3 linked regions of the Drosophila melanogaster genome follow. The protein of the gene in region 2 interacts with the protein of the main gene of each other region in a pairwise test. Each region holds a gene or a part of one and is shown on either strand. Other genes may lie near its edges. The genes, in order: Act87E, Cpn and CG9184.

What was found.
Region 1: the proteins of Cpn (region 2) and Act87E interact in a two-hybrid assay, tested with the Drosophila melanogaster proteins (one large-scale study listed by BioGRID).
Region 3: the proteins of Cpn (region 2) and CG9184 interact in a two-hybrid assay, tested with the Drosophila melanogaster proteins (one large-scale study listed by BioGRID).

What each region holds. Positions count from the first base shown.
Region 1 is NT_033777.3:13,421,999-13,429,513, reverse strand, and holds Act87E (actin 87E), read right to left. Parts: upstream 3,532-7,515; 5' UTR 3,472-3,531; exon of another isoform or gene 3,336-3,471; intron 3,068-3,335; exon of another isoform or gene 2,932-3,067; 5' UTR 2,911-2,931; coding exon 1,780-2,910; 3' UTR 1,139-1,779; downstream 1-1,138. Other genes in the region: Ir87a (ionotropic receptor 87a), read right to left, coding at 6,374-6,901, 6,955-7,477. UniProt on the Drosophila melanogaster protein: Actins are highly conserved proteins that are involved in various types of cell motility and are ubiquitously expressed in all eukaryotic cells.
Region 2 is NT_033777.3:12,162,791-12,170,305, reverse strand, and holds Cpn (calphotin), read left to right. Parts: upstream 1-4,119; 5' UTR 4,120-4,185; intron 4,186-4,632; 5' UTR 4,633-4,755; coding exon 4,756-7,350; 3' UTR 7,351-7,419; downstream 7,420-7,515. UniProt on the Drosophila melanogaster protein: Plays important roles in both rhabdomere development and in photoreceptor cell survival. Might function as a calcium-sequestering 'sponge' to regulate the amount of free cytoplasmic calcium. It binds 0.3 mole of Ca(2+) per mole of protein.
Region 3 is NT_037436.4:1,319,650-1,326,903, reverse strand, and holds CG9184 (uncharacterized protein), read left to right. Parts: upstream 1-4,097; 5' UTR 4,098-4,121; coding exon 4,122-4,152; intron 4,153-4,201; coding exon 4,202-4,899; 3' UTR 4,900-5,112; downstream 5,113-7,254. Other genes in the region: Myo61F (myosin 61F), read right to left, coding at 1-6, 69-531, 588-703, 765-909, 2,275-2,333.

The sequences.
Region 1 (7,515 bases), 1.3 Mb from region 2:
TTCGTATTTTATCGTAGACAAACTTAGACGAGTTTTAAGCATTCCAAGCGAGAGCAACGACAAAAAGACAATGAGAGAGCAGGTCCAATCAAAAGCATACTGTCCCTAAATGTGCCTTAATGATCTATATTTATATACTTTACATATATCATATACACCGATGCGATATCGAGGAACGAAATGTGCTAAACCGTGTACTTAATAAAGTATTCAACCGCTAACTGTAAGTGTATAGACTGGATTTTTAACAGAAAATAAAAACGTGATGTTGGGCGTTCTGCTTAATATACTAGGCTTATATTATAGCTAAGAGATGTGAGGACCGTTTAATGTGCAGTATTCCAATTAACAACTAGCAGACCACTAAGAACAACGAAATTTTAAACTGCAGCCACAAAATTGACTGAAAGTATACAAATCGAAATGAGCTGAATTGAATGTAATTGTGCGAGTATTTTTGTAAATGTATTGTCCGCCGGGGGTCCCAGAACCGAAAAAATGACTTACCACACACCAACGAAATGTTAAGTGCAAGCAATCCACTCAATTATTTTTTGTCTAAGCATACAGCAACGATGTTGAAGCATTTAAATGTATAAAATATTCAATAAAAAGTGCATTTATGCATCATGTATACAGTACAACATACCCTACCCGTATCTCGTCTATTTTCGATTTGGGCACCCCATTCCAGGAATCCCGAGTCCCGAGGAGGCCCATCTGCCTGGTGTCGTCTGTCTGCTCGATCTTCAAGTACAAGCGTCCCGGACCAGCCACACAAATGTACTTGAAATTCCAAGATATTTTTGCAGCCCCCGAGGTCGTGGCACTGCAATTTAAAAGACAGCCGGCGGTCGCTTCTCCCAGCGGCTATGTTAACTCCAAAAAAACGGCCATCTCACACATTGTTACAGTGGAACATACCTAAAATATACTTAACTAGGTCTTGAACGAAGACTGTTTTCAGCGAGCTCTTGTATTCCTAATTAGTTTAGTTTTAAAAATATATATTTTCGAATCCCTTTAAAGTTGATATTCTGACATTCAAAGTCACATATTTGTTCAATCTACTGTGGGTTGACTGTAGTCTTAGAAGACATTTGTTAATACTTCGGCATGTTGATTTGCCGCTTTTGTTGTTTCCTTTGGTCTGTATTTTTAGATCCACGACGAGGGGGGCAGCTCCTGCACCGACTGGCAATGGGCAAAAATGGACTGTCTTGGAGGCGTCTATGCTGGGATTACCGTGCTCATCCCCAGCCACATATGTACATATGTATGTGCACCCCAGTCGAGGAGATCCACCTCCAGATTTCGCTCTTTGCAGTGGGCGTGCAAAATTTCGTAATTTCCTGTGCGTCGCTAAAAATAATCGCATAGCATGCCGCTTGCAGCGAATAAAAGATACGTTTCGTTTAAAATTTAGATTTAATTTATAGAGGATGCTAGTATAATTTATTTTTAAAACTGTAAAATTTTGCATTCTTGTGTCTCCTCAACTCCTCCTTCAGCGCCATCAAGCGGCTCTCCAATAAATATTAATATAAGTATAATACATGCTGTTACAATCGCGGTTCCTTCGGTTTTCTTTGGATGGCAGGGCAGCAAGAGGTTTTAACTTAAGATTAATCATCAATAGCACTAGGCTATAGATCTTGATTTGGTATTTGGTTGTTGCTGTTCATGTTGTTCTTGTTGTTGTTGTGTGGTGTTCTGTGGCGTGGTGTGGTTGGGTCTCAATGCCCGTGTGGTTTGCAGTGTCTGTGGTGTTTAGATCGCTTAGAAGCACTTGCGGTGGACGATTCCTGGGCCGGACTCGTCGTACTCCTGCTTGGAGATCCACATCTGCTGGAAGGTGGACAGGGAGGCCAGGATGGAGCCACCGATCCAGACGGAGTACTTGCGCTCCGGTGGGGCAATGATCTTGATCTTGATGGTGGACGGCGCCAGGGCGGTGATCTCCTTCTGCATACGATCGGCAATACCAGGGTACATGGTGGTACCACCCGACATGACGATGTTAGCATACAGATCCTTACGGATGTCCACATCGCACTTCATGATCGAGTTGTACACGGTCTCGTGGATGCCGCACGATTCCATTCCCAGGAAAGAGGGCTGGAACAGCGACTCTGGGCAGCGGAAACGTTCGTTGCCGATGGTGATCACCTGTCCGTCGGGAAGCTCGTATGACTTCTCCAGGGATGTGGAGGCGGCGGCGGTGGCCATCTCCTGCTCAAAGTCCAGGGCAACATAGCACAGCTTCTCCTTGATGTCGCGAACGATTTCACGCTCAGCGGTGGTGGTGAATGAGTAACCGCGCTCGGTCAGGATCTTCATCAGGTAGTCGGTCAAATCGCGACCAGCCAGATCCAGACGCAGGATGGCGTGGGGCAGGGCGTAACCCTCGTAGATGGGCACGGTGTGGGAGACACCGTCACCGGAGTCGAGGACAATACCGGTGGTACGACCGGAGGCGTACAGCGAGAGCACAGCCTGGATGGCCACATACATGGCGGGTGCGTTGAAGGTCTCGAACATGATCTGGGTCATCTTCTCGCGATTGGCCTTGGGGTTCAGGGGGGCCTCGGTCAGCAGGACGGGGTGTTCCTCGGGGGCGACGCGCAGCTCGTTATAGAAAGTGTGGTGCCAGATCTTCTCCATATCGTCCCAGTTGGTGATGATGCCGTGCTCGATGGGGTATTTCAGGGTGAGGATACCACGCTTGCTCTGGGCCTCATCACCAACATAGGAGTCCTTCTGTCCCATGCCCACCATTACGCCCTGATGACGGGGACGACCCACAATCGAGGGGAAGACGGCGCGGGGCGCATCATCGCCGGCGAATCCTGCCTTGCACATTCCGGAACCATTGTCCACGACCAATGCGGCAACCTCATCGTCACACATCTTGGCTACTGGCTGTTTTCACTGCAACAACAACGAGAACGGAGGCGGTTTTTAGAAGGAGAAGTGAGAAGTGGGCTTTCGGTATTCGGATTGGGTATGGATTTTAATTGTAATCTTGTGTGTAAGTGTGAAATTATGAAATACGTGTAGGTGTTGCCTCAGAACATGTATGACTTTAAAAGAAAGAGTATCTTTGCAGAGGAGCAATCATTAAAATTAATAAAAAAGGGCTGTCTTCAACTTTTGAAAATATTACATACTTTAATAAAAGTTTTAATTAATTATAATTTTTGATTTAAGATCAAACAACTAATATTTTTCAGTTTTAACATTTTAAAGAATGTTTTTTTAAACAAAAATTAGTCACTATTAAAAACCAAACATTTAAGGATCGTTGATTAAACTTTTTCTGCTCCTTGTCAAATATGTTGTTTGTTGAGATCTCTATCTTTCCAAAGTATCTTTCTTTTCAGAAAGTTGGGCACTGTACACTGGATCCAGCATCGGATTGGGTAAAAGTCAACCAGACAGACGGAATTGGTGGATGTGGAGTATACTAACCGTTAGACGAAGAAAAACTAGAAATCCAAATCAACACTTTCGCTGTAGAACTGCGAGTGGTCGCTGGACCGAGATGCGCTAATATTTATACCATTCTGGCGACCCTCAGTCGTTTTAGATATTTTCCGCACGCACACTCAATCGCCTCTCGGCACACATGTGCACATGGATGCACATTGCGCCGGCGGGGGGAGATTCTGAGTTTCTTTTAAAAATAATTTGTTTTCGTTGGATTTTTGCTTTTGGACTTCTGCTCGCTTCGTTCATAATTTCCCAGATGGTGCACTGCAGGAAAGATGGCTCAAAATATGTTATGAGAAAATATAGATTTTTGTAAAGCGCATATGATGGAATGAAAATAATCAATTTTGTACCTATTTTCTATTGTGTAATGATTTTCTAATATTAAAATATCATACCACAAACTACTTCTTAAGTATTATTATTATATTATTAAGTAAATATGCCAGAAAAATATTTAATACTTTTAATTATTTGGTTTAAAGCTAAGTAAAGGCTTGTGAACTTGGTGATGTTTAGGTCACAGCTTTCAACATTTTCTCTTTGTGTAATATCGACTGAGAAACAGAGAAACAGACGGATCTGAGCGCCTTGGTAAACAACATCGCGATGGCACACAGACACTCACACCCGAGAAGATCCTCCGGATCGGAGCATCCCAATCGTAGGCGTAATGTTTGCTCTCCATCCGAATCCGAATCGTTATCTTTATATGTATTTGTATCTGTTGCTATATCTTTGTCTGCAGCTGCGGAGGTGTCTGCAGATGTATGGGTGGCGTGTTCGTTTTTTGTTTTGTCTAATTTTTAATCAACATTTGCACGTTGGCCCAATCCATACATGGTTGCGATGGAAATCTCTCAGCGATGATGAGAACGCACTCGCAATTAGAAATAAGAATTTCAAAACTAAACCAAAACTTATATACCGCCGCATTCTCTCGGCCATAATTTGTTGGGTGTGGGCTGTTTTTCTGGGTGGGTGGGTTGGTTGTTGGTTTTGGGGATAGCTGGTTAGGGACCCAAAAGCCATAAACACAAACGGAAAATTGTTAATAGAGCGAATAGTGCATTTATAGATTTGCCAGATTTTTTCGGTTGGCCAAATTGACATTAATTAATACGCCCCAACTTATTTGGCCATTAACATTTCTCTTCGAGTTTTTCTTCTTGGCACACACTCATCAATCACAAACGAGATCATTGAAAGCTATTCAGTTAATGATCAAAACTCTTAATAGACTTATATGGTGCTATGAGAATTTTTAAAAATAATAACAAACGGAAAAATGCGTTTGTTGTTTACACTACACATATTCTCTCAATTCGTTGAGAGTGTTGGTGTGGGTGGGAAAACCGTGTATGAGATGGAAAAGTCGGGGAAAGCAAAAATAATTTAAATGAAAACCGTGCGCTCTCACGTTTTTGCAAGAGATTCTTGGACGCTTACGCGTAGAAACGTATCTAGAGTTTGGAATTCTATTTTTAGTAAGGAACTTACGAAATTTGTATATTTAAATCTAGATAAGTATGCGAGTGGCCAATTATCACAGGTGAGGAAATACAATTTCTTGACAGAAATGATTATGTACCGTGTCTAGTACCTACTGGAAATGTCTTAACTTTTATTAAATATTGTATTCAATCTCCATGATCCCCACTAATGATGTTACTTTCCATAAATAATATAGAATTTCCCACATATGTATATATGCGTTCATTCACTCTGTTTTCCCCGCTATCAGCTGAGTAATCGGCAAACATTTTCACAACGCCTTGTTGGGCGCCATTCATTTGGTTTGCCACAACGCCTAGCTGGTCATCATTAATATAAAAATAAACATGAATATATGTTAACAGTTGTGTATTATTTTTTTGTGAAATTTTTCGGCCCACATTAGCTGCCCAGCAGCTGATTGAATTGTGTTGGCCAGCAACAACACAAATCTGCCAATTTGATGATACTGCAACAAATGTGCTGCCTGAAAATATTATTTATAAAAATCTGAGAAAATCACATATATTTGATTGTGGCAGCGTCTTCCGAAGAGGAGGCACCAGCCAACCAGCCAGGCCACCACAAAAAAGAACATACCAGGTCGAGCATTGGGCCACCACCACCTTTTAAGGATGCGCCAAACAACGGAGGAGAATGCCGACGACAGCTTGACGTTGGCGGCGTGCGCGCTTGTTTGCCTTTCTGACAACCAGCCGCATCGCCAGCAGCTACGGCTGCGGATGCTACTACGGATATGAGTACGGAACACGAGGAAAAATATTAAGAGTTTGTGCAACAGTGAAAAACTCAAGTAGCTATCTCTACCCTCTACCAGCCACAAGTACCGATGCAAACAATCAAAAACCTTTACATATAAATTAGTGAACATTTATTATCAAGCTTAGATGAATTTTGACATTTGGGACATCTGGGAAATTCGCCTTTTATTATCTAAATCAAAATGATACGCATTTTCTTACTGTGCAGCGGCCAAGTAGACTGCATTACACGGTGTATGGCAAAGCTGTATTTTTAAATTGAATATTGTGCCAAGAAAATATTAATATGCAAGCATATTTATGAATCTCTTCAAGCATTATTTCGATATTTTTAATATTTAATATGCATTTAATGCCTTTAATTCAATGCACATGTTTGGTTATACAGGGCGTATGCGTGATCAATATATATATGTATGTGCAATGTAAAGAATACAATATGCAGCTATAGATGCTATATGGGCTTTTAAGATTTTATTATAGCAGAAATGATTTTGTTATTACTTTGTAAAGTAGCTATACCCGTTTCTCGATTTTTGATTATTTATTTATTTTGCATGTCAATTATCATAGAAATGCCAAAGTCATTTTCGCCACTTCAATTTCTAATCATGTTGAATTTTAATATTATGAACTTTTTTCGTGATTTTTTTCGTTTTCCTTTCCCTTTTTTCAGTGCGATAGACATATTTAACGTAGCACAACTCGAAGGCAAAGACGCAGCTGGCAACCAACAAAAGTCCCCCGGAAAATGCGATGGCTCCGCGAAACTGATCAAAGGTGAGAGCCTTGAAAGGATCTTCTCGCACCCTTGTTATCTCCTCGTGGATCATGCGTCGCATGTCCAGATCGCGTGCCCACTTTTGCATGTGACCCGATTCGATGATATGCTGAATCACCGGGTTTATCTGGTGCAGCAAATGGTACTTCTTCGGCAGTAGCATGGTAACCAAATAGACATACAGGGATTCTCGGCGGTCGAAGCAGTAGAGACGATCTCGTTGGATTCGGGGATTGTAAAAAGAGTGCTGTCTGGAAACAGCAACGGCGATATGTTCGTTTTGAGCTGCATCATTGAGGCAGTCCACTAAATTGTAGCACATCTGAAACTTTTCGCGTATGTACTTGAAGATCTAAAAATGAATTCCCATTAATTTCCATGATCGAAAATGGGATAGTAACTCACCTCACCATCCTTGTTCAGATGTCTGACATGCTCGGAGGTGCCCATCACGGTCATTTTATTGCTATAGATCTCTTGCAGAGTGTGGATCTGATAGGAACTACGTGGAGTTGTCAGTGTGCTGATCAGAAAACTCTGATATGTGTTGCTAAAGAAGAAGCCCATTAGAAAAGAAAGCGCAAACAACTGCCTTAATGTAATTGGAAAATCCTGTGCCGGAATGGCCTGGTTAAGCAAGATTCCCAACACCCTCAAGCAGGTGGGGAAATATCCATTGAGATTCCGCAATTGGAAGCCTGATACGCGTTGAGCCAGCCAAACAACCAGAGAGCATGTAACCACAAAGATTCCAATCAGAAAGCCAGCATCCGCATTGAAAGTGGCCACGAAATTGAAGAACCCATGTCTGCGCTTTGCCCTGGCCACACACCATGTGAGTTCGTCCTGGTGATAAGGAATGGAACTGGAAACGAACTGACTGATGCTCGGATCTTCATCTATTCCTCCGACTATCATCTCTATTTCACTGCGATTAAATATAAAAACATAAACTAATTATTTATT
Region 2 (7,515 bases):
AAGTTTCCGCTTAGGCTTGGCATTAAAAACTTGGCAGCTTGTTAAGCCCGGCTGAAGACCAGATTGTAGTTCGCAGTGCTGGGGGCCAAATTAAATCCGCAAACTGTAGACAAAATGCAATAAAATAAATTGCAACAATATCCGCAAAAACCGAAGCCAAACGCGAAAGGCGGACGAGCGGAGCTAAGCGAAATAAAAGTTCCTTATAAATGATGCTGCTAACCTTAGTGCCGCATTCGGAGTGAACATAATATAAATTTTCAACGGGGCTGAGTAGGAGCCAAATGAAAGGTGACAGCTGGGATGTGGGGGAATTGGGGCAAGGAGCTATGGCTAAACAATAGTTCAGCAAAAAATAAGTTGAAAACGAGTGAGAAAAACTTAAGTGCCCGTTAAATTTCCCAGCGGACTAATGATAAAAGTTACGCGACTCCTGGCCACGCCCCTCAGCCCACCACCGCCATCGTCACGCGCATTTTCCTACCTTTCCTGCAGCAGCATTTTTCCCGGCTTGTCGGATTTGTTTGCTCTTTAACCCTTTCCATTTGGCGAAGCCTTTTCATTGTTTTTTTAGCTCCTTTCGCCATACTTTTTTGTTGTTTTTCCCCTGCCTCGAGTACCGGTAAATACATTGCGGCATTCAAGTTAATTTACCACAAGAAAGGAGCCAGCAATGAGTCGCAAGGAGCAGAAGTCTGCAAGGAGCGGAAAAGCAGTCTTGGGAAAAGGCTGAGAAAAAATGCAATGAAAATTATGTTGAACCAGGCCAGGGATCGTAATTAGTTTACTGCCATTTAACTTGCTACATTAGTTGCAATTACGTTGTAAATATTGTGTATTTATTCCGCAGTTCATTTGAATTTCTTAAACTGCGTTCTGGGGTTTTCCGTTCCTGAATATTTACAAGACGATCTGAAAGGCGTTAAGCATTTCGATTGAATAATGGATTCAATTTTGTCCCATAATTTAAAGCTAGCTATACCTTAAATGTTCTATTAAATTTTATCTTTCTCTGAAAGTTAACATATGAAAATGGAGTATATAAAAAGAAAAATGTAAAATATTTACTAACCATGCCCTCAAATCGTAAGTCTATTAAGCTGACAACTCAACTAGAAAACCCGTTCACATCCTTAAACAGATTAAACACTTATCACCAAGTGCTTTAAGTGTCAAGTCCTTGGAATTTTGCCACTATGGAAATTTTGAAAAATCATTAAAGTGGCTGGAGTATTTCTCAAAAGTTAATTGATCCAAATTGTTGTTTTGTTTTTTGTTTGTTCAATATTTCATATTTTACTTGCCATTGCTGTTGATACAGTGTGTACGTGCGTGCCATTCGATTTGTGTTTGTTATGTGCTTTGCATAATTTAACACTTTGCCTTAAAAACAATCAAATTGTCAAGTGTCAAAAGTTCGTGTCGGCCCAGAATATTCCTCCGCTCAACTGGGCTCTGTTTGTGCTGCCATGTAAATGTAAATAAAAATGCATTAAAAATGTAGCTGTAATTTACACACTCACACTTTCCAGGGAGGTGAAAATAGCCTGAAAAGTGGGTGGGGGTAGCGACCGTAAGTGGGTGCTTGTGTGCAATATTTTGCATTTGCCTGCCAGTTTTTCCGGTTTGCTCTGACCACAAAGTGTTGGCCATTAACCGAGCGCAGTCTGAGCCACCCGCTGGGCCATATCATGTTTATGCCGCACGCTTCGAGAATAAGAATGTTCATGGAAAGTGTCGGATCTACTAGTTTGCACGGAGAAGAGAGAAATGTTTAAACAATAATAATATATATATTTAATGAATATTTTCCTCTTTATTATTTAATTGATTTATAGTTTGCAGCATGCACTCCGCATAAACGCAGTAACAGACACTTTCCCAGGGAAGCGGAAAGGCAGGCTGACGCGTGTTAATTTGAATAAATTATTAAAGCACGTGATGAGCGCGACCTTTCAACCAATTGGGGCAACTACCAGCCATCACCCACACTACCGCCCCCACCAATCCCAATTGGATGGTCGAAAACACACCAACCAGCCCACCCCCCGCAAGCCAAGTGCAATTAAGCACGAAAAAACCAATCAAACTGGAAATAAATTGCGCCATAGTTGCAGCAGCCACACAGCGACCAGGGTTGCCATACGGCGCCGATTTTTGCGAATTTTTTTTGCCTAGCCAGCACTTTGTGTGCCCCTTCTGCGTGTGGGTGTTTTGGGTTTTTTGCGTTCGCCGGGGGTTTCCCTTTTTATTGTGGCCGCTGGGTGAAAATTGTTTGCATTGCATTCTCTGCTGATGCATGCGAATTGAGAAATATTTGCAATTTAGCAAAATACACCCGGAAGCGGCTCCGGATTGAAGCTTGAGCTCCTTTTGCCACATTTCGCAATTTCGATTTTCGCCCCGCATTTGTATTCATATTTGTATTTGGTTTTTCCAATCGCACACGGGCCCGACTTTCCACACTCTTACAGTGCGTGCAAAATGACGGCAATTAGGTGTATACGCTGCGCTGATTTATGTTTTTTTTTTTTTTTTGTAGTTGATCGCCTCACCTTCGAAAATAGCCAGGAATGCAATATCCATTGTTTCAGGGAATGGATTTCATCCGAGTATTGTTTTTCGGTATAAAACATTGTTTGAGAAATATTTGTAAAATATGACAAAAACTTCTATTCTATTGCTGGCAATTACAATTTGAGATCACTCATCAGTGACCACAGATTCGAAGAAAATCAAATGTATTTGTTGAGGTACGCAAACTCCTTCGCAGCTCAGATCAATTGTCGAGTTCAGTGATGCAGGAGGAGATAGAATAAAGTATAAATACAATTTGTATGCTTGATGTAATTTCATTTCCACTTATCTTGGTATTTTCTCTGCATTTTGCTTCATGCGATTGATTTATCGCACAGAAAATAATAGGCAGCCAATGTCTGTGCATCCTGTGAAAGGACTCGCTCTCGGCCTTCCAAGCATTCAATCCCTGAGCCGGGTTCAGTTTATATTCAAATGCTTACGCTTAAATGTCAATAATACGTGAAATTGAACTGCCAATTCAATCTTCACAACTACTCCGCATCGCTCCTCCACTTCTCCAGTGAAATCATTTCCATATAAGCGTTTTCCCATCTCGTCTATTTATATATATGTATGTATTTCTTTTCTTTTCGTTCGCAACTCTTTTTATTTTCCATCCTGCGAGAAAAATTCTTTCTGTTCATATGTGGAAAAACTATTTGCAAAAGTCTCAAGTGTGCTCGGTTCCCGGCCAGCAGAGGGGCAAGTGAGGCGAAGGTGTAGGTGGACGTGTTGGTGTTGGACTTTTTAAAACGACGCCTGCAAATTGTACGCAGATCACATTACACTTGCTCCAACGGACGGCATGTGCAACTGCCGGCTGCCTCTGTGGATTGCTTTACATTTGGCTGCACTTCCTACCCGGCATTCACTCGAAAAATTGAAAGATTTATTTCTTAGTTCTTTGCGATTACATTTCCACCGAGCTAATGTGTTCCGATCCAACGGCTACGTAGTGGCAGTTTGTCAACTGTCATTGCATCAGACATTGAATGGGCCACGATAGCAAATGGATTGTGGAGGGTCGGGTGAGGGCGGGGCAGTGCGGGGCAGCGCGGGAACCTGTCGCATTTTGTTGACAACTACATTGCAAATACGGCAAAGTAATCAGTATTGTGTAAATAACCAGTTATGTGTCTGCGAGTGCAGCTGACAAAGCGAGTGGTAAGCGATATGCACTGGATCGCGAATAAATTCTTGAAAGCGTTTCCCCGATTTATCTACCCGATGCATTTGGCAAGATGCGAACGGAATCGATAATCGAATAATATGCGAATATCACTCATACGCAGTGGTGGGCGCCAACGCATGTAGCACACTTTTCAGCGCCAAATGTTTCCTCGTGCGAGCCGGAACAAATTTAATATGTGGCTAAGGTCAGCTGATAAGCACCTTAGTGTCTGGGAATTGGAAAAACGCAAAAAGCACTTGAAACTATGCGTATACTTTCTGCGCTCAATGGGCAGTTGTCGGACTTCTGACCGAAGGTAAACCAATGAAAAGAGGTAAAAATGTCCAAGAAAACTGAGTCAACGGGCCAGTTAAACACCGTTTTTCTCATCGGCAAGTCGGTCGCTGTTTAAAACTATTCAACAAATTAAATTGGTTAATAATATTGAAAATATTCAAAAGGATTGACTTACCTAAGAGGCAGTTCCTAATAGTTGACCATTTCATTGCTGACCGCTTATTTTCGAATTTTTGAACGAAATTGTGCAAGTGCCTTGTTTTCTCTTACATAATTTAGCAACTACAGTTTTGTAAAAGAAAAATATATTTCGAATAGACGTCAGAAGCAAGAGACTAGTTAACTCAATTGCTCTTACTTTTACTTCTCATGTAGTGAAGACAATTCTAATCTCATTTAATCAATGTAATTTTATTGTATAGATATTTGAATCAGTATTTTCCGGAGAACTTTTATTCTTATTTTTCTCATTCTTACGTGGTTTCTCATCGATTTAATTTTATTTAAGACAATGGCCTAAATCATGGTCAGATCCAGCCTTGCCATGTCTCATGTTTTTCTCGTTTTCATTCCTCTGTTTTCAGTTGTCTTCTGACCATGAAAAGCTGGCCATGAAACATTTTTGCAACTAAGCATTGGACAAGGCACAATCCGCCCAAAAGGAAAAAACGGATTAACTTTTATGTGAAAGTGGGCAAAGGATAGACATGGAACCAGGAACCATTCCATCGCCTGTTTCAGCACCAGTTGCTGCGCCTGTGACGCCATCAGCAGTGGCTGCCCCTGTCCAAGTAGTAAGTCCTGCGGCAGTGGCTCCCGCACCAGCGGCACCGATTGCAGTCACTCCAGTTGCTCCACCGCCCACCCTTGCAAGTGTGCAACCGGCAACAGTTACTATTCCAGCTCCAGCTCCAATTGCTGCCGCATCCGTCGCTCCTGTCGCATCTGTGGCGCCTCCAGTTGTTGCAGCTCCAACTCCGCCGGCAGCAAGTCCAGTTTCAACACCACCCGTTGCTGTTGCTCAGATTCCGGTCGCTGTTTCAGCACCAGTGGCACCTCCCGTTGCTGCAACACCCACTCCTGTTGCCCCAATTCCTGTAGCTGCGCCTGTGATAGCGACACCACCTGTTGCTGCCTCTGCCCCCACTCCGGCTGCCGTGACTCCCGTTGTTTCGCCTGTGATCGCCACACCACCTGTGGTTCCCGCTAACACCACGGTTCCCGTTGCAGCACCTGTAGCTGCTGTACCAGCTGCTGTTCCTGTTGTTGCCCCAGTTCTTGCGCCTGCCGTTGCTCCTGCAGTTGCCCCCGTCGTCGCCGAGACTCCAGCTCCACCACCTGTTGCTGAGATTCCGGTTGCAACCATACCGGAGTGCGTTGCACCTCTCATCCCCGAGGTTTCCGTCGTGGCAACGAAACCACTAGCTGCAGCTGAGCCAGTGGTCGTTGCTCCACCGGCTACTGAAACCCCAGTCGTTGCTCCGGCTGCAGCTTCCCCCCATGTGTCGGTTGCACCAGCTGTGGAGACCGCAGTGGTCGCTCCTGTAAGTGCTTCGACTGAGCCCCCGGTAGCTGCTGCGACTCTAACAACTGCACCAGAAACGCCAGCCCTTGCTCCAGTCGTTGCCGAGTCCCAAGTTGCTGCGAATACTGTTGTAGCTACACCTCCTACTCCAGCCCCAGAGCCAGAAACCATTGCACCACCTGTTGTTGCAGAAACCCCAGAAGTTGCTTCAGTTGCTGTTGCTGAGACAACACCACCCGTTGTACCTCCTGTGGCCGCAGAATCAATACCAGCGCCAGTCGTTGCCACGACACCAGTTCCTGCAACACTAGCAGTAACGGATCCGGATGTCACTGCATCTGCTGTTCCCGAATTACCTCCGGTGATCGCTCCATCACCCGTTCCTAGTGCTGTTGCTGAAACTCCTGTCGACTTAGCGCCACCTGTTCTCCCTCCTGTGGCTGCCGAACCTGTACCAGCTGTAGTGGCTGAAGAAACTCCTGAGACACCAGCACCAGCATCAGCACCAGTGACCATAGCAGCTTTAGATATACCAGAAGTTGCTCCTGTGATCGCCGCACCCTCTGATGCACCTGCTGAAGCTCCGTCTGCCGCTGCTCCCATCGTTTCTACTCCACCAACTACGGCTTCTGTTCCCGAGACCACGGCACCACCTGCGGCAGTGCCTACGGAACCTATCGATGTTTCTGTACTATCAGAAGCTGCCATTGAAACGCCAGTTGCACCGCCTGTCGAAGTTACAACAGAAGTTGCAGTTGCAGACGTTGCTCCACCTGAGGCAGCTGCGGATTTAATAATCGAGCCTGTGGAACCACCAGCTCCTATTCCGGATTTATTAGAACAAACTACATCCGTGCCAGCTGTTGAAGCTGCAGAATCAACATCTTCACCAATACCAGAGACCTCATTACCGCCGCCAAATGAAGCAGTTGCCTCTCCAGAAGTGGCTGTCGCTCCAATTACAGCTCCAGAGCCCATACCTGAACCGGAACCAAGCCTAGCGACCCCTACAGAACCCATACCTGTGGAGGCACCTGTCGTAATCCAGGAAGCAGTGGATGCTGTAGAGGTGCCGGTGACAGAAACTTCAACATCGATTCCAGAAACTACGGTTGAGTATCCTGTAGCCGAAAAAGTCCTGGATCCTGCCATAACTGAAGCTCCTGTCACTACTCAGGAACCAGATGTTGCAAACATTAATGACGGTGCTCCAGCTACCGAAATCACCACACCCGCTGTTGAAATCGTTACTGCTGCTGCAGAAGTATCTGATACTGCCATACCGCTCATTGACCCTCCGGTTCCTCAAGAGATCGCAGTAGCTGAAATTCCAGAGACAGAGACAAAGCCGGCAGAGGTCATTGTTGAACAGAGCACCATCCCAATAGAGGCACCAGTCCCGGAGGTTTCAAAATACGCAGAACCAGTGATTTCTGAAGCTCCAGCTGCCGAAGTACCAATTACGGCCGGGGACAACCCAGACAATACTAGTGTGGGAATATCTGAAGTTGTTCCCACCATTGCAGAGAAAGCAGTTGAAGAGGTTCCCACTTCGGAAATCCCCGAACAATCATCGTCACCCTCAGATTCCGTTCCCGTAGCAAAGATAACTCCTTTGCTAAGAGATCTTCAGACCACCGATGTTTCGCTATTGGCTATTGCAGCCACCCTGGATGCCATTGGAGAAAAGCTAAAGGATCAAAAGGCCAGAAATCAGCAGGTAATGGACAGACTCTGCGAAATCGAGAAAATTCTTGGTCCTCCCAAATCCAATTAGCTCAAGTTTAAAGCCTGGATCATGTAAAGTAAAGCTACTAATAAAGCGTTATTTCACCAATTTTAAAGTATATACAAATTTATTACTAATTTCCTTTTCATAATAGGGTTAAAAGAGCCAAGGTATGGCTAGGTTGTCACAAATTGTTCCGTGCAAAATTAATGC
Region 3 (7,254 bases), on a different chromosome or scaffold from region 2:
ATTGAGCTGTGGATTAGAACTCGAAGATCAGAGACCAATTGTCAATACCCTCCAGGCTGCCCACTTACCCCATCTGTCAGGTAGCTATAAGTGTCCAGAGCCCGCTCCAGGCGCAGTTCCTGCAGAAGGGCCTCGTCGGCGCCGGCCAAGAGTTGGTAGAAGATGTGGAAGTTGCGCTCGCCTCCCATTTGAGCCACCACTCGCGACTTTTCCAGCAGATAGTTTAGGATGTTGCCTCCGATCGGAGCTCCTTTGAAATCGAACTGGATGTCCATGTACTTGCCGAACCGCGAGGAGTTGTCATTGCGGTTTGTCTTGGCATTGCCGAAGGCCTCCAGCACGGGATTGCTCTTTAGCAGCTTGTCCTTGACGCCCTCGACGGTCGTCTGGTTGCCGGAGCAGGCGGCTATGAACTGCAGCACCTTCTTGGAGGCCTCTGTCTTGCCGGAACCACTCTCTCCGGAGATGAGCACGCACTGGCCGCGGTTCTCCTCGATCAGCGAACGGAAGGCGTTGTCAGTCACCGCAAAGCTGGACAGGAATGCTCATTATTTGGTGGTTCAATGCAACTTGGTCTTGAGACTCACATGTGTGGGGGCATCTCGTAGAAGTGCTTGTTTCTGTACGCCTTGACATGGTCATCGGTGTAGATGGGCAGCTGCTTGTAGGGATTCACGGAGATCAACACCTGGCCAATGTAGGTCTGCGAAAGGGGATATCGTTATCATTATTTTGACCTATCTTCTTTAACTATTTTTACTCACATAGATCAGGTCCTCCTGGAACCGCTTCTTCAGATTCCCGATGAAGGCTTCTTCGCTCTGGTAGTTCTCGAGGAGCACAAAGTCCTGGACTCCAGCACGATCACGCTCGTGCAGGCCCGTCTCCATTTTCAGTTGGGAATTAAAACTAAAGCAAAGAAAGGGGTTCACATAAGCATCAAAATGATTCCTTAAATACAGATCCCACAGAAACGATTGGTGCTTGCTTCATTGTTAATTTTTCAACTTCCTAAGAAAATCCTCTTCATAGGTCTTATCTTTGACGAACCTAATCGGACTGCCCAGCTGAAAGGGTTGCCATGTTTAACCACCTTGATTAGGAAAAACCTCTTGAAAACCAATTCAGAAAAGCCCCATAGAAAGCCGAAACCCCAAAGATAAGATTTTCGCTATTCGACAATATTTTATAACAGTCCTGCGGAAATGAATCAGGCAAATGATAGTGACTCGTGAATGTGGATATTGTTGATCAATTCCAAATGATCTCATCAGACATATCCAATATAATATTCTATATGAGTCCCAATGCAAATACCCAATCTGGGGTATTTATAGATCCATAGAAGTAATGGTGGGCAGGTGCAATTCACCTTATCAATGCCATATTTCATGGGGCCAAGGGAAGTGGGCAAGTGGTAAGAGTTTGCTTTATTGGACGACTGCTCCAGTTCTGCTGATACGCGGCGGGTAAAACCATAAAAGAAACGATTATGCAATGGATTTGTGACTGGTAGGATTTCTAAGATTCCTAAGAAATGCTGGTCATATAACTGTGGGATTATCCAAGGACACTTCACTAGGTCACTGAGTAAACAATTGCACATCTCTAGATGGATTCTCTTCAAATCACGCTTCTTCTACCTGGCCATGTTTGTTCGATTCTTCTTGTTCCACAACACTACTGCACAAACACCACTGATAGCTCCAATTGATGATTCTCTGGAGGATGTGTCAGATTCCGCGCATATTCCGCCCTTTGACGGCTCCGTTGGCAAACTAAACCGATCCGCTGGCAGTTGAGGCGTTTTAACCATCAATACTTCTCCTCTCCACATATCAATTGGCCTCGTCGGAATTTGTGTTGTTCTTTTTTTTTAGTCGGCACATTTATCAACGATAATATACCTATGACTGCGATGAGGAGGGCAATGCCGCCAATCAGTCCCCGATTAGATAGTGCCTTTCGCGAATAAACTCGGGACCCGATTTAGGAGACCATGACAGAAACGCAGCGCACCAAAGAATTCCGGATCGGCTGTATTCCGGAGTTCCAAGTACCTGAGATCACGATACGTCTTTTTCGCATGCGTCAATCCTAAAGATATATGCGTTCCCATCTCCCATCATTCCGAGCAACCCAATGTTTTCAGTTGATTCATAATGTGGTTCCTCCTAGCTACGCGAACCAGTTTCTTGGTTTTTAGATAACTAATCAAGAATTATTCTATATGATTTATAATCTATTCACTTTCTTTATCTTAGCACTGCTTACTCTATGTAGTCCTTAGTATCCATTATTGCGAAGATCAAGGATTTGATTTCAATGTACATAAGGAATTCCTTTACTTAGTTCTTGCTCCACAATTAGCTAATTTCATAAACTTGCTTCTCCAAAATGTAAATTATAACTTAATGCTTTCAAGATTTCTAGATGACTGCCGCGCTTTCGGGACATTTCTGAGTGAGTCAGAGCTCGAAACTCACAACCCCGACTCAGAAAAGTGCTCCAGCTCACATTAGCACTGTGTTATCAGCTATCAGTGTGCTAAATAATAAGTCATTGCCGAATGAAAACATTGTAAGTACACACACTAGATTGCAATTGCCTCCACCGCCACTATTGTGTGTTTCCATCCACTCTGCGCCACTTGGAAGGGGATTTGCTGTGTGGAACTGGAACGAATGCCTGACTAATTGCGAAATGTTTGCCGGGAAGACTTCCCAGGAATTCTCGAAGAGACCGGCAGACACGTCCCAGTCGTTGGAGCCGAGCTCGCCGTGATTCGATGTTTGTCACATAATTGTTTAATTGCACGTAGGGCAGATGGAAGTGGATATCGATCATGTCGAAAACCATATACGAATACATCACCCAATGGGCACAGCCATTTGCAGTCATTCTGCAATCACTTTAGCACTTTTGACAAACCAACCATCGCCTAAGATTATGCTACGTCTATTTAAGGAATCCACAAGTTGGAGGGCAGGTGAGTGCAGATCTCATGGAACTGTTTGGGATCCAATTGACACGAGTATATGTTGTATGATAAGAGAGTTGCCAAAGTTGACTGGGTGGCGGGGCAAGCCTCTACAGATACTTTCATGATTAGATAAACTAGCTGGGGGATATAAAATGAATTAAACTGTAAATATTAATGAGTGTGTAGTCATTATAATTATACTTTGCTCAATATCCCTGCAATAACACGGTTTCTCCCTACTATGAAGTCATTGACTTTCTGTTCCCTGGGGGCGTTGCTTTTGTCGGCTTGATCCACTCTTTCTTTAATCCCCATTCAGCGGTCTAATAGAGTGGGGAACTGGTTTCCCGATCCAGAAATACTCCAACGGGTGATGTAACAGAGAACTCCACATTTTGTTGTATCAGACGACTCGTAAACATGTCTACGACACACGACCTATAACGGAACCCAAAAACCATGAGTCCCACCCAAACGAAAAAGTTCCTAACCCATTAATCGCACACCGAAAGAAATAGTCGAGCATTAAGAATAGGAAACCAAGAGGCAGAGGCTGATTTGCTTTGTAGCGAGATGGAGAAATACATTCGTAAAAAGTAAAGATAAGTTCTAAAGACGGAAACTCAACGATAATACAATAAGTTCAAGGGCACATATTTCCAAAAAATTTGTTGCCAACTCAAGAGCTTTGCTGAATATTTTTTTGTTCAGTGGCATGACCAACCTTCATCTGCATTCAAATGTCGTCATATATCAAGCAGCAATATCGCGGGATATTGAACTCTTCGAATTCATTTGGAAAAATGCAGGGCTGGCAGAACGATCATGGAAGTGGAATGAGAAGTGGAAAGATCCCACAAAGCCCCTACAAGCATTTATATCATATGCAAATTAATGAGCGCAGTTATTAGAACGGTGCTTGATCGATCCGAGATCGAGATCGAGTTCGAGCTGGAGCTGGAGCTGGGGATGGAGATGGAGATGGACACAGAAGAAAGAAAGGCATCCCAAATTTGGGCCACTGCATGGGTTATTCTAATGAGGAAACCGGGAACGAGATCCCACACATCTCATCACAGATGCACCGCGTATAAAAGGGCAATGCAACTGGAGTGGTCAGGTTATTCCGAGAGAGATCATGGATCGGAGAGTGACTGCGATTGGTTTGGGTGAGTACGGACGATCGGCTGCCTAGAAAGAGTGACACATCCTTTTCAGTTATCCTGCAGCTGCTGGTCAGCGGCCTCTGTTTCCAGGAGAAGGCGCCACTGCAGACGAGCCTGGTCAGCGGACAGGCCAGGACCGAAAAGCAGCAACAGGTGCTGGACGATCCGCTGGGAAGTGGACGCGGGATTGACGAGCACCTGCTGAAGACCATTGGTAAGGGCGGCATCAAGCTGGTGATGGCCTCGGGAGCCCCGTCGACCACCCCGAAACCGTCAGTACAACACCATTACTATTATCCACCAGAGGATCAGCAGCACCCACGGCAGTATGGCTATCCACCGCAGTGGTCGCCAGGACCGCCCGCTTATCCGCCGCCACCGCAGCGTCCTTGGGGGCCACCCCCTCCGCCCGGACCACCGCCGCCAGGACCTCCTCCTCCGCCGGGACCCTACTACAATCCCTACTACAATGGCTACAACTACTACGGCGGATATGGCGGCTATGGATATGGGGGCTTTGGATATCCCGGCTTTGGCGGCTATTCTGGCTATCCCTACTATCCCTTCTATCGCTCCTCGACGGCTGGCGAGGTCGATAACCAACTTCCCGGTGCCGATGGACTCACTTCCGCCGCCATTCCTGGCGTTTTCCAGGGCAGGGCCGTGCTGTCCCACCAGAACTTCCTCGACGGCAGGAACAACGCTAACGTTGTGCCACTTTATCACCTACTCCAAATGGCCAGGGCTTGAAGTACTCTAATCCAATCATTGATTAAAACTTAATAAATTGTGTACCATGTATATTCCGAGTAACCGCGTGATGCATTGTAGTTCTTACTTATCATCGCATGCGTTCTAGTTTATAGCCCTATTCAATATCTAATCGATTCTGACTGGATAAATGTTTAAAGAAATCGTCCAACTGAAAGCCCATAATAGTAGAAACAGAATTGCAGAAAGGAGAAAGGCAGAAGGTGTTTCTATTAATCCACTCGAGATTGACGATTACTTAAACCCTGATAATAGCTTTGCCAGATCATCCAACTGAATGGATCGTTAGATTATAAAGAACCCAGTTGAGGCCGCTGACCGAGAGTAAAGATGATCGAATTCGTTCAAACGATCGTCATCATCGTCATTTCTCGCACCCGCAAAGACTGGAAATTCAAATTCAAACTGGGCAAACTTATCGAGCCGGTTGCAAATACATATGTATATAAGAGAATCTGGACGCTCGGTTGCTGAGTCACCCGCTTTTAGGGACGAGTCTTCTGGGCACGAGGAGATCTCGAGGAGATCACGCCGCCATTGTGACGCATGCCAAGTGCCTGGGTCTCGGTCTCGGATAACCATTAAGTATTAAACAATCACTGGGGCCCGCTGTTTTCTTAGCTCACTGCGAGCCATAAAAAGCGTCAACAGCTGAGGCCGATCTTGAACGCGATTTACTGCCAATTGCAAAAAAAAAAGAAAAAATCTGCTGAAAGAGCTGCCCAAAAGCGTTTCGTTTTGTTTCGTTTTTGCCTTTCCTACTGTTTTGGCCGCTTCAAAACAGACTTTTTGCTCGTACTCACGTCGAATAAGAGTTTGGAGTTTGGGATTGGGGCTTCCACGAAAAGCCCTTACTTGGCACTTTACCGAACCTGAGCAAATCCGAGGTGCGATGTAATGGTGATCCCAACACGAGCTCACTCAAGCTCACTCCTCCGTCGAAAGAAATGGAATGGAGTGGAAGTGCTGGCTCCGTGTTCTTGGTTCCTCGCCAGTCGAACTTTATGACTAGTGGGGATTTTTGCTATAATTGTACTTGTGCCATACAATTGATTGAATGGGGCATATTGCCACATGGCCAATTACCGCTTTATTAAGGTGGATCAGCAGTTTCTCAGCCAGGATACTACAGATAATAGTAGAATGCCGTCAATATTTGTAATTTAAAAGGTGAAAATGAATCGTAACTTCTTTAAGAGATCGTATCTTATACATCTTTAAAGAACAATGTCTGAATGAATCCATTCACTAGGTAAGACCAGGTCATTCTCTACTCTTCCAAGTGACACATCTGCCCATTCATAAAAGAGGGCATACCAATTGTCGACCAGACCTCCACATCTTTCGTGGAAAAGCGATGTGCTTCGATGGACGTTTACGACAATCGCTTGTGGTCTTTTGTCGATTCAACTTAATTTTCGTATCTTATCTTATTAGACATTAATTAATGTCATAATGCAGCTGGCTAAGAAGAGGTAAAAGCACCCTGTATGTACATATGTAGAGCGTACACGATCAATATCATATCAGTAAAACTGGTTGAACCCAGCGAGAAGATAACGCCACCGATTCCGATAAGAGAAAGTTCAAGTTTGTCATCAGGCCGCGATTTCGAAATTTTTTCAGGTGGGTGCGGGTCGCCGTTTCCCCTAGACACCAGGTTATGCTATATTTCGAATATTCCGTGGACTCCATAGAGTCAAATGGGCACATGACAAGGCTGGGCGATAATAAATATCGCAATTACCCGAACCAAAAGGCGTGCAATTTTATTTCCTTCTCCGGTTCTTCGTTTGTTCTCTTGGCCTCTGGGTTTGTTTGCCAAACGGTTAGTTCGCAGAAAGTTGGCATTACATCATTACCAAAATTCGGGTTTTCGTGATACGCTTGGTTTTCCAATTCGTTTCTTTTGGGTGCCAAGTGTGAGGCAATGACATTGGGGGCAATGCTTTGTGCACTCGAAAAAAGGTGTTCTACAATCGCCTCTAGTCTAGCTTCAATACCATTAAGTACTTTAAAAGTGAGCAGATCCCAGATATTTTAAGACTACAGGTAGGTATTTGACAATATTATTATATTGTTGCGAGCTTGTATTTGAACAGCTGCCAGATTTGGCGAATCATTCGGTTTCGTTTTCGATCCATTGCAGTTGGTTATTTTTAAGCGGCTTATTGCCGCTGTTTTCAAAACTGGGTCAAATTAATGGAGGGCCGTCGCAGTGTGGAAACGAAATTGAAATTTGATACAATTTCAATTGGTCAGCGAGTAGGCAAGCGGAGCAAGGGGATACATCCCCGCCAGCTATATCCACCGATTACTCATGTCTCCCCCATA